Linked DNA regions of Ovis aries. The protein of the gene in region 3 interacts with the protein of the main gene of each other region in a pairwise test. Links are inferred from orthologs where the notes say so. Each region holds a gene or a part of one and is shown on either strand. Other genes may lie near its edges.

Region 1 (4,164 bases), on a different chromosome or scaffold from region 3:
TGCCAGTAGCTTGAGTGACAGTATCTAATGGTTTATTTGGTAGAATTGATCATTATTTTTTAGAAAATCTTTAACAGGTAATAATGGTATGTCCTTCTGTTCTATTTTATTTTTTTAAACTGTGAGATTAAACTCTTTTTGAGGAGGGGTTGTTCTTTGTTTTTCAATTTTTAAATAATCACTTATATTTCCTCTCCATACACTGTTAAAGCCCTGTCAGGAATTATGTTTTCTTTTTTCCCGCCTACTTTAAACTGTTTATTTTGCATTGGGGTATAGCCGGTTAACAATGTCGTCGTAGTTTCAGTTGTACAGCGAAGGGACTCCTGTTCTTTTAATGTGTCTCAGTGCTTAGAACGGTGCTTGTCATGCGGCTGACACAAAGCTCTGAAAACAAATCTGATGACTGAGTGGTAACTTTACATTCTTGTAAGAATAATTAAGCCGCTAAAACCTGACGACTGTTTACCGCTTTGTTGTTGTGTTAGTCGCTCAGTGTGTCCGTCCAACTCTTCGCGACCCCATGGGCCGTAGCCCACCAGGCTCCTCTGTCCGTGGGATTCTCCAGGCAAGAGTACTGGAGTGGGTTGCCATGCCCTCCTCCAGGGGATCTTCCCCACCCAGGGACTGAACCCAGATCTCCCGCATTGCGGGCAGATTCTTCACCGTTTAAGCTAACAGAGAAGAATTTACAAAGAATACATCCCCGCATCTGAACCCCACAACTACTGCGTGCTGCTGTTTTCAACATTTTACCATGTGGGGAAAACTCTGGAGTAACTGAGGTCTGAGCGAGATAAAATGGTGATATATAAATCAGGTCGTCCCAAGAAACGAGAGAATTCAATTTCCCTTCTTCCCGTACACTAGAGGGCGAAGCGGCAAGCTTTGCAGCAGCAAGAAATTAGAAACGAGAGCCTCGGGGGGACTACACTTCCCAGAAGCGCTCTGCGCAACTCCCGGCATGCTCAGCGGCCAAGGCCTGCACGTCCCAGGTTGCCGCGGGGTTGGACGTTACTCTGTCGTTCCCTAACCCAAAGAAGTGATGGCCGCTGGCTCTCTGGCGGGAGACGGCCGTTTAGCTGTACATCTCATTGCCAGGGAACGGGCGTCGGAAGGTTCTCAAACAAGATTCCACTTCTTAGGGCGGTAACGGCGTGCACTGGTTGGGGTGGGGCGGTGAGAGAAGCGGAGCCGCTGTAAACCATGCTGGTGAGCTACGGGTCCGTCTGTGGAGAGGCCCAACTTCGCGAGACTGCGCGCGGTGCGAGCCTGTGCTGGGAAGCGCGTTGGAGGTGTTACGGGCCGAAAACTACATTTCCCGGCATCCTCTTGGCGCCAGAACTACGTTGCCCGAAAGGCTGAGCGGGATTCGCCCCGTCTTCTCACCCGGCTGCCTCCGGCTGGAAAACCCGTGAAATGTGGGGCCGCTGGGTTCGGCCGCTCCTGTATTCTGAGGTTTTGAGCCCCTGTGGGCGTTTTTCGCCGACCCTGCGGAGAGGTGAGGAGAGGCACCGTGTCGCCCGATGCCTTTGTTCGCTGTGGGGAGGTGGTGCCGGCTTGGGCGAGAGGAAGGCGAGGGTGCCGCCGCCTCCCTCCAGCCCGCTCCGGGGCCTGGCAACCCTGCTGCCGAGCCTCGCCCCGAGGGGTTGAGGCGGGAGGCGCGAGGGCCGAGAACGGGAGCGCGAGCCTCCGAAGGCCTGTCTTCCCGCCTGGCTCTTTCGCTCGAGCCCCGCCAGGTGTCCCTCTGAACCCTTCTCTGTCAAGGGAGGCTGGTCGTCCCCGCCCCCTCGCAGGCGTGTAGTTTGTGCCCGGAGAGGGCCGTCACCTTTCGCGGTTTGTTCAAACTTAGACTGTGTTACTCGGGTGCCTACCTCGAGCCCAGGTCATTTGGTAATCTACAGCGCCCGTTTCACTTCAGGTCCGCTCTATTTTCGCTGTAGTTTTCGGTTCGGTTCAGTTCAGTCGCTCAGTCGTGTCCGACTCTCTGCGACCCCATGAATCGCAGCACGCCATGCCTCCCTGTCCATCACCAACTCCCGGAGATCACTCAGACTCACGTCCATCGAGTCAAGTGATGCCATCCAGCCATCTCATCCTCTGTCGTCCCCTTCTCCTCTTGCCCCCAATCCCTCCCAGCATCAGAGTCTTTTCCAATGAGTCAACTCTTCGCATGAGGTGGCCAAAGTACTGGAGATTCAGCTTTAGCATCATTCCTTCCAAGGAACACCCAGGGCTGATGTCCTCTAGAATGGACTGGTTGGATCTCCTTGCAGTCCAAGGGACTCTCAGGAGTCTTCTCCAACACCACAGTTCAAAAGCATCAATTCTTCGGCGCTCAGCTTTCTTCACAGTCCAACTCTGACATCCATACATGACCACTGGAAAAACCATATTTTTCGGTACTCGGGAGCAAACTCCAAAAGACGGTGAAGGACAGGGAAGCCTGGCATGCTGCAGCCTGTAGGGTCGCAATGAGTCGGACTCGACTGAGCGACTGAACAACAAACGCTTTATTTACGCTGTGGTTTTCAGTACTTGGCAATCGCCTTTCAAGAAAAAGGAACGTGATCACGGGAAGCTACAGTGGTTGACGGGCAGGTGCGCCTGTCACCAGTGTGTGCTGGACAACTGAATTTATTGAGAGTCGTTTCCAGAATCTTTTCCCCACAATTTTTAAACCCTTTGGGGTTGTCTGCAGAGTAGTTACTTCGTACTAACCTCAACGTTCTCTATTCACCTTAAATCTTAAGTGCAGGGGAACTGAGATGTCCAGCACCACAACTTTGAGCTGTTTTGCTCGTTTCATTTTAGTCACACAGCAAGACTGCAGTTATTGACCGCCTCCCCGCGCCGCCCCCCCCCATCTCTAAGACTGCTGTTTAGTGCCCAGGGTCCTTGGCACGGTATTTGTACTTAGGATGAGCTGGTTGGATGGCATCACTGACACAATGGACATAAGTCTGAGCAAGCTGCAGAGATGGTGAAGGACAGGGAAGTCTGGCCTGCTGCAGTCCACTGGGCTGCAAAAAGTCGGACAGGACTGAGCGACTGAACAAAGGTATTAGGTTTGTGTGTGTATTTAGTCGCTCAGTCATGTCTAACTCTTTTGAGACCCCATGGAGTTTAGCATACATACACATTATGATGTACAAAACGGATGTTTTTTGAACCCTGGGAAATCACCCCAGTCTCAATTTTTTGTAAACTTTCAGAGCTAATATAATTTGGGTCCCTCATTACTAAACAAATATTTATTGAATGTTTACTATGTTCAAGTAGTTTAAGCTTGCCTCAAGTCAGTATTCAAGGAATTTGAAAACCTTGACCTCTGACTCAGGGAAGGATCTTAGTTTTCATCTAATTGAATTACTGTTTAAAAGATAAAATAAGGCACAGGAAGATGTTGTGGAAGTTTTGTGACCACTGGTGCTGGTTTCCTAGTTCATTACTATTTCTCTTACTTAGCAAAACATCAAAAACACTGAGCTTCTAAAAACAGATTTTTTGGTTGTCCCTGAGAAGTCAGTCACATAGATCTTGTGTTGGTTTATTATTTAATATATTAATCCTGATTGTCTTGATGGAACTAGAAAAGCATATGTCAACAGACCAGCATGTAAAAATATATATTAATGATCAGCTATGTTACTGAAGTGTTGCAACTCTAAAGTTAGTAATATTTTTTAATTTTTAAATTTAATTCAAGTATAGTTGATTTACAAGGTTGTGTTAGTTTCCAGTGTGGTGTTATATATATACACATCTATACTATATGTTCTTTTTCAGATTCTTTACCATTATACTTTATTTCTGTTTTGAAAATTCTTATTGAAACCTAGTTGATTTGATTTTATACATAGCAATTTGTATCTGCTGCCAAACCCTTAATTTATCCCTTCTCACACTCATTCCCCTTAAGTTTCTATTCCATGTCTGTGAGCCTGTTTCTGTTTTGTAAGCACGTTTGTCTGTATCATTTATTAGATGCTGCATGTGGGTGATAGCATATGATAGTTGTCTTTCTCTGGCTTACTTCATTTAGTATGATAGTCTCTAGGTCCATCCACGTTGCTGCAGATGGCATTATTTCACACTTTTTTATGGCTGAGTAATATTCCGTTTTGTATATAATCTCTCTTTTTTTGTTTAAAAATTCTTTTT
Region 2 (4,016 bases), on a different chromosome or scaffold from region 3:
GCGCCACAGGGCAAAAGCATGCCTGAGCCATGCAGGATGAGGCCCTGGGAGCTGCAGGCCTGTGAGCAGAGCGGGCATAGATACCAGGACTGGGGAGTAAGGAAGGGTGGAGGGGGAGCCTGGATGCCTGAGTCTGAGGACCTGATGGGGCTTGGAGCCTGGATTCCTGGTTCTGTCCCACTGGGAAGAGGGGGCTGAGGCTCAGACTCGGGTTGTGGAGGAGGAGGGTGTTAGGGGATTGGAATCCTGGGTTCTCGGGAGGGGTGGGAGGATGAGGGGCTGGGTCCTTACTTCCTGTGCTTCCTGCTGCCTCCGGGCTGAACTCTCGCACTGGTCCATGCGCTCCTGGTGCAAGAACCGGCAGCCTTCAGGCACCAGCAGGGCCTCGCTCACGAATTCGCCAGCTAGAAAATGGGCAGCATCGGTGTGAGACACTCCCATAGCCACCAGCCCTACCAACTCCCCCCACCCCAGAATCCAGATCTTTTATCCTCAGAGGCTTCTGTCCCACTGTGGACTCAGGCACCTAGCCCCCTAATGTGAGCCTGAGACCAGGGCCAGACTCTCACCCCCTGGGGACTACCACCCAACCCCCCACCTTCCGTTCCCCAACCCGCCAGCCTGTGACTCACGCAGGCAGTGGAAAGGCACAACTTGGTGGTGGGGGTGGGCACAGTGGCCACCCCGGGCACCCCCGCACCATTGTTCCATGGGGATGGCCTGCGTCGCCTGCTCCACACGGGCAATCTGCAGCTCCGGGTACATCTGGGGGCACCGAGTCGGGGCGATTAGCCCTCTGTCCCTCCCCTACCAGGTGCGCTCCTGCGACGGCGTGTCCCTTTTCAAGGCTCTAGTATTCGAAAGAACCACTCTTCCCTAGGCCCTGCTTCTCAGTAGAACAGGACTTAGATATCTAAGCCCCACCCGTCACTGGGCACGCCCCTTAGTACCTCTCCCTTCCATCCTTAGGCTGCACCCCTTTGCCTGTCGGGTTTCTTTATGAAGGTCCCTCCATTACCCCAAAGCTGTCCTTCTAAGCCCATCTCTTTTCTAGTCGCTTCTGCCCGTTCCCCCAATCAAGTTCATCTCCCCATAGATTCCACCCTTCTTTAAGCCTCGCCTCTGGCCTCTCAGGATCCTTTCTTTTTGTATTAGACTTGCTTTTTCATAGCCACACCTCCTAGCTTTCCACTCTCCCATTGGGTTCCATCCCTTTCCGAGTCACTCGAGTCCACGAGGTCTTTTTGTCTTAGCCCCGCCTCTTAATTGCCACGCCCACCTACACCTGCTCTTTAAAGTGTCCACCACATTGTTAAATTCCATCTCATCACTTGGACACTGTCCTCAGCTGGCCGTGTTTGCATGGTTCTTCTCTTTTCTTGACCTAGTTTCTCAAAAACAGGTAAGTCCTATCCTAACTTTGCCTCTTTGTTGGCCATGTCCCCTAGTTTCCCATGCCTTCTTGAACCCCTCATTTCCCCGGACCTTGCCTTTGCACGGCTAGCTTCTTAAGGGCAACCGGGTCCCAGCTTGGACCCGCTTTTTTGCTGGCCACGCCCCTCTCAGTCGGTCCCGCCTACCTGTCTGCAGTACTCCAGCACGCGCTGCGGGTCCCGAAGACAGCGTCGTGAGAGCTGAGGGTCTGGTTCCCAGCGGCCGGTGCGCAGGTCCCGGTGAAGGGTTGGTCGCCCGCATAGTCCAGCCACCTGCGCAGACCCTGGGGCCTGGGGGTGGGGCGGAGGGATCAGCGAGGGCACGGGGGACGCTGACATGTGAGTCCCCCGGTCCTTTGCTCCCTAGGACCCAGATGGTCACATCCTCAGCACCAGCCCCCTCCATCAAGCGTCGCGCACCCGCCTCTGTGGAGGTTTGGTTCCCTGGGAAACAGCTCCCACTGGGCCTGGGGCCGCCCCAGCTCTGCCGTTGCTATGGCGACTCGGGGTCTCCCGGGATTCTCACGGCCTTGTTGCCGCGGAGACAAGCCCCGCCCTCACCCCAGCGCAGCCGCACTGGAGCTCGAAGGGGTTAAACTTGAATGGCGGGGGAGAAGGCCAGAACCCAGGCGTTCTGGCCCCTCCTCCCTCCGCCCCTAGCTCACGCTCGCATCATTCTCGAGTGGAAAGACCACAAGGCCTGGCTTCAGGGCGCTGCAGGCCTGGACACTAAGTCCTTGGGGGATGGAGAGCTACAGCCTGGGTTGGGGGGGCGGTGACTGGAGGTCTAGCCTCCTGGGTTCTGGGAGCCTTGCGGGAGCCTTCATATGGGTCCCGAGGATAAAAAGGGCCCAGATTCTTGGCTCTAGATGCCTTGCTGCCCGGCGGGTCCTATTCAGATGGGCTGGGGCTGAGTCACCTAGGTCCAGAGTGTCTCAAGGGGCTAGACTTCGGGACGAGCTGGGGCCTGGACTTAGGGGTTTCTGAATGCCTAGTGCTATTAGGGGCGCCTGAGGGCTGGCCACCTGGCTGAAAAGACTGCGCCTTCTGCTCCGGACCTATCCGCCCCGGGGTCCAGAGGCGCGGTCCCGCCCCTTCCCCCACCCCCTAGGGCCCGGCCGGGCCTCACCTCGGCCGCGCTGGGGCTCCCACCGGCCAGGTTCCCTTCGGCGAGCTGCACGCGCAGAAGCAGCAGCAACAGTGGCAGCAACCGCAGCAGCGGGCCCAGACCTCGAGCGGCGGGGCTGGCGGGCCCCATGTCCGGGCCCTCGAGCCCTCACGTCTCCAGCACTCCCGCCCGGCCGGGCCCCAGCGGTGACAGGAGCTCCCAGCGCCACAGCCGCCGCCTCCGCCGACGCCCCCGAGCTGCGCCGGCGCCGCCAGCCCCGCCCCGCGCCGGCCCCGCCTTCCCGGCCAGGACAATAGCGTGGTAGCTTTGCGCACAGCTGAGCAGCCTGGAACCCCCGGGTGGGAGCCTGCGCCAGGCCCCCGCCCCCTTGAGACTCCAGGCGTCCCGCCTATGGAAGGGCCTACCCGGGAGTCTGGGTCACAGGCTTCGTAGTTGTGGATTTTGAGTTCTCCAAGACTGTCACCTCCAGTTTTCTCCTCCCTCGGACCCAGACCCTCACTAAACGTCTTTCTTCTCTTCCAGGGACGCCAGCACAGGAACCCCGACCCCACCCCCAAATCCTCTTGAGGTCCCCTCTTGAGGTCCTAGGCCTCCAAAATTTCCTCAATCAAGAACACAGCAGTTGAGCTTTAAATGATTGTGAAGCTAGGGAGATTCTGGCCAGGAAAAGGAGGTCTGATCTCATTGTTCTCCCGGCCTTTCGATCCTCCTCTGAAACCCTTCAATAAAATGGCTTGATTAAAAAAAAAAAAAAAAAAAAACAAAAAAACCCACAGCAGTTGACACCCAGTCCTCTTCTCCCTCAGATCCAAGAGTCTGGGTCCCAGGCACCTTCTCTCTCTGGACCAGAGACCAAGCCCTCAGCCCTTTCTCCCTAAGATCAACAAGTCCAGGCCTTCTCCTCTGCTTTCCAGGAGCCCTAGTCAAGTTAACCTTTAATTCCTAGATCAAGGATGCATGAACCAAAGCCCCCAGACCCATTCTTTAAGGATGAGCTGAGTCAGGTACCCATCACCTCAAGATAAGGGTCAACCCCCATTCTTGCTCTGAGGATCAGGACAGTTCTCTTCTCCCACCCCTAGCCTCTCCTTTGCTGCCTCCCCTTCAGGGTTCACTTCCTTCTCTTCCCAAAATACAGTGTAGAATTGTCTTCCCCAAGCAGGCTGGGGCAATCCTGTCATGTGCATGCATCTGCATAAGTTTGTTTGTCCAGATGTATCTTAAAAGAGCTTAGAGTGCTCACTTCAGTTCAGTCACTCAGTCGTGTCTGACTCTTTACAACCCCACGACTGCAGCACGAGTGCTCAGTGGATAGTAAAGGGCTGCGGGGTGGCTCATGTTTTTTTTCTACAGCCACTTCGTAGTCTAGGGTAAGAAGAAGGGCCTTGGGGCAGATTCAATGGACCCCTTTCTTGACAGTAATAATGCCAGGGGATTTCTAAGATATTCACTTT
Region 3 (4,049 bases):
AAGACCCGCCGCCGCCGCCTCCTTCTACCGCCAGACCCGGCTTTATGTCTGCGGCGCCGGGGCGCATGCGCAGACGCCATCTTCCCTCCGTCTCCTCAGCCGGCCCCCTCCCGCCGCCGCCGCCGCCGCCGCTGCCACCGCCTCCGCCTCCTCTCGCCCGCGGTCGCCCCTCCTCCTCCTCCTGCGCTCGGGCGCTGGTCCCTCCTCTCCCGATGCCGCGAGAGACCGGGGGATACGGCGGAGCCGGAGAAGAGCACTAGTAACAACCACCACAGCCCCCTCCTCGCCCGCCGCCCTCCCTCGGCACCCACCCACTCACCCGCCCCGTTCGCCGACACCGACCAAACCCCACCTCTCGTTCCTTTGAACGGCGTCGGCTGCAGTCGCTGCACCAGCCCCGTCTGGCCACCAACGCCGCCGAGAGAGGAGTCGCCGTCGCCTGCGGCCCCCTCCCGCCCGGGCCGCGGGAGCAGCGGGGGTGAGAGGACCAACCGGCTGCGGAGGACAAGGACGAAGCGGCTCGCACCACCGCCGGCGCTCCTCAGCGCACGTCCCGCCGCCCTCCGGGGAGGCTCGGGCGCCGGCCCCTTCCTCCCCGAGGACGTGTGCCGAGCTGAGGCGCCTGCCCGGAGGGAGGAAAATGCTCGGGCTCCATGGCTGCCAGTGATGGAGCGGTCCCTGGGCTCCCGCTGCCACCGCCGCCGCCGCGCCCCGGCCGTGCTCCGCGAGGACCCGGCGTCTCTGCGCGCCCGCCCGCGCCCCGTTGCTGGGCTCACCGTACCGGGCGCCCCGCCGCCCGAGCCTCGCCGCGCCGGCCCCAGTCGCGGCCAGCGTTTCCTTACGGAGCAGCAGCAGCCGCCGCGAGCCCAGGGGGTTTGAAAGGGTCCGCGGGGCCGTGGGGGGAGGAGGCCCGAGCCGGGCCGGCGGGGCCGGGAGCGGAGGTTTGAGCGACACTGACTGAGCTCGGGGCTCGCCGCCGGCAGCCGCGGCGGCGCTGGGGGGCGGCGAGGGGAAGGCGACACTCGCTCGGCGCCGCCTTCGTGCAGGGCGACCGGGAGGCTTTTTGCAGCGGCCGCCGCCGACGGGAGGAGGGGCGGAGGTGGCTCCGGAGTTGTCCGGAGAAGGTGGGCATTTCTTGGCTTTTCCCACCCCCCTCCCCTCGCCTCCCCGCTCCCCTCCCCACCCCCTCCCTCCCGCCCCGCACCCCACGTGAAGCAGAGTATAAAGGGGGTGTGAGGCCAGAGGGGAAAGTGGATGGCGAAGGACTGAAGGGGTGCCCCCCTTCGGGTCCCTGGCCGCCCCGTTCACCCTCGTCCATCCTCCCTTCCCGAAGCTCGCCCTCGAAGGCAGGAACGGCCGGCGCCTGCGGCTGAGGAGGAGGAGGAGGTGGGGGAATCGCGCCGGGCGGAGCGTCAGGTCCCGTTTTCCTCCTCGGCGTCTTGAATACAAAGATTACGGTGCAGAAGGAAATTGCACTCGCCTTCTCCGCCCCCCGCCCCGGTACCCAACACAATGCACCAGCCGCCCGAGTCCACGGCGGCCGCGGCCGCTGCAGACATGAGTGCTAGGAAGATGGCGCACCCGGCAATGTTCCCTCGAAGGGGCAGCGGCGGGGGCAGCGCCTCAGCTCTCGGTGCAGCAGGTACCGGCGTCGGTAGTAGTGCCCCATCTGCCGAGGATTTTCCGCCTCCGTCGCTGCTCCAGCCGCTGCCTCCTGCAGCATCTTTGTCGGGACCACAGCCTCCGCCTCCACAAAGCCTGAACCTCCTTTCGCAGGCTCAGCTGCAGGCACAGCCTCTTGCGCCAGGCGGAACGCAGATGAAAAAGAAAAGTGGCTTCCAGATAACGAGCGTGACCCCGGCTCAGATCTCCGCTAGCATCAGCTCGAACAACAGCATCGCAGAGGACACGGAGAGCTACGACGACTTGGATGAGTCTCATACGGAAGATCTGTCGTCTTCCGAGATCCTTGATGTGTCGCTTTCCAGGGCTACGGACTTAGGGGAGCCTGAACGCAGCTCCTCGGAAGAGACTCTCAATAACTTCCAGGAAGCCGAGACACCTGGGGCGGTCTCTCCTAACCAGCCCCACCTTCCTCAGCCTCATTTGCCTCACCTTCCACAACAGAACGTTGTGATCAATGGGAGTGCTCATCCACACCCCCTCCATCACCACCATCCCATTCATGGCCACCACCTGCACCACGGGCACCACCATCCATCCCATGCCGGTGTGGCCAGTACATCCATCCCTGGAGGGCCGCCCTCAAGCCCAGTGTCCAGAAAACTCTCGGCCGCGGGAAGCTCTGACGGTGTTATGCCAGTTGCACCAACTTCTGCTGTATCATCGAGTGGCTCGCCGGCATCTGTCATGACTAGTATCCGTGCTCCGAGTACTACCGGCAGCCTAGGTATAAATTCTGTTACGGGCACCAATACGATGAATAACGTTAACATCACTGCTGTGGGTAGTTTTAATCCTGCTGTGACCAGCAGCATGCTTGGTAACGCTAATATAAGTGTGAGCAGTATCCCCAGTGCTGCTAGTATGAGTGTCGGGCCTGCAGTGAGCAGCGGGGTTAATGTGAATATCTTGAGTGGCATGGGCAATGGTACGATTGCTTCCTCCGCGGCCTTTAACAGCGCTGCCAGTGCAGCAGTGGGCATGACAGTGGGGGCCGTTTCGAGTCAGCAGCAACAGCCAACCGTTAACACGTCCAGGTTCAGAGTCGTGAAGTTAGATTCTACTTCTGAGCCTTTCAGAAAAGGTCGATGGACTTGCACTGAGTTCTATGAAAAAGAAAACGCCGCCGTACCTGCCACCGAAGGGGTGGTGGTAAATAAGGTGGTGGAAAGTGTAAGACAGAACACGACGGAAGCGACTTCCGAGAGGGAGAGCACGAGTGGGAGCTCCGTGAGCAGCAGCGTCAGCACACTGAGTCACTACACGGAGAGTGTGGGCAGCGGAGAGATGGGCACCCTGGCGGCCCCGCCGGTGCAGCCGCAGCCGCCCCCGACCCTTCCAGGGGTGGCCCTTCCGCAGATGGACTTCAGCAGCACCGCTCCACAGGGCATTTCAGCAGTTAGCATCCCGCAGAGTATTTCTCAGTCGCAGATCTCGCAGGTTCAGTTACCATCTCAAGAACTGGGCTATCAGCCGAAGCCAGGTCTTCCACCAGTACCTCTGCAAGCCGGTATTCAGCCGTCACCTGTTGGCGTGGTGGGCGTCACTTCGGCTTTAGGTCAGCAGCCTTCCATCGCCAGCCTGGCTCAACCCCAACTGCCGTATTCCCAGGCCGCCCCCCCAGTGCAAGCTCCCCTGTCAGGGGCGCCACCCCAACAGGTACAATATGGCCAGCCGGCGCCAGCTGTGGCCCCTCCGATGGCCCCAAGCCACGGTACATCAGTAACTCCGAACCCACCCTCCGAGTATGTTCAGCCCTCACCGCTTCTCCAAACAGCGGTATCCTCTGGACAGCCCACTTCTGCAGGGGTGGCCGTGGGAGCCACGGTGATTCCTATGGCTCAGCCACAGAGCATCCAGCTCCCAGTGCAGCCCTCGGCAGTCCAGGCACAACCTGCAGGGGCAGCTGGCCAACCTGTTGGCAAGGCTCACACGACAGTAGCTGCGGTACCACCCGGCAGTCAAATCGCAAATATTGGTCAACAGACAAGCCTACCATCGGCACTGCAGCAGCCCTCCACCCAAGTCACACCTTCAGTTATCCAGCAAGGTGCTCCTCCGTCTTCACAGATAGTGCCACCTGCTCCAGCTGCGATCCTTCATCCGGGAGTTCAGCCCAGCGCTTCAAGCCTTCCTCAGCAACTGGTCATTGCACCCCAGAGTACCCTGTTACCTGTGCCTCCCCAGCCACAGGGGGTCGAGTCGGTAGCTCCAGGAGTGGTTTCGAAGCAGTTGCCTGCAGTTAGTCCTTTGCCCTCTGCTAGTAGTATTTCTGTTACAAATCAGGTTAGTTCAGCTGGTCCTTCTGGACTGCCTTCTGCCCCGACAAACTTGGTTCCGTCACAGAATATAGCACAAGCCCCTGC

The links. The genes of interacting proteins can lie anywhere in the genome.
Region 1: the proteins of TSC22D1 (region 3) and CCDC90B interact in a two-hybrid assay, tested with the Homo sapiens proteins (2 studies listed by BioGRID and IntAct). The link is inferred for Ovis aries from reciprocal best matches to the Homo sapiens genes TSC22D1 and CCDC90B.
Region 2: the proteins of TSC22D1 (region 3) and APLP1 interact in a two-hybrid assay, tested with the Homo sapiens proteins (2 studies listed by BioGRID and IntAct). The link is inferred for Ovis aries from reciprocal best matches to the Homo sapiens genes TSC22D1 and APLP1.

The regions. Positions count from the first base shown.
Region 1 is NC_056074.1:11,964,979-11,969,142, forward strand, and holds the start of CCDC90B (coiled-coil domain-containing protein 90B, mitochondrial), read left to right. Parts: upstream 1-1,364; 5' UTR 1,365-1,419; coding exon 1,420-1,501; exon of another isoform or gene 1,502-4,164.
Region 2 is NC_056067.1:45,873,412-45,877,427, reverse strand, and holds the start of APLP1 (amyloid beta precursor like protein 1), read right to left. Parts: upstream 2,801-4,016; 5' UTR 2,692-2,800; coding exon 2,563-2,691; intron 1,725-2,562; coding exon 1,581-1,724; intron 766-1,580; coding exon 633-765; intron 405-632; coding exon 292-404; intron 60-291; coding exon 1-59. UniProt on the Homo sapiens protein: May play a role in postsynaptic function. The C-terminal gamma-secretase processed fragment, ALID1, activates transcription activation through APBB1 (Fe65) binding. Couples to JIP signal transduction through C-terminal binding.
Region 3 is NC_056063.1:15,190,391-15,194,439, reverse strand, and holds the start of TSC22D1 (TSC22 domain family protein 1), read left to right. Parts: upstream 1-1,249; 5' UTR 1,250-1,512; coding exon 1,513-4,049. UniProt on the Homo sapiens protein: Transcriptional repressor. Acts on the C-type natriuretic peptide (CNP) promoter. Acts to promote CASP3-mediated apoptosis.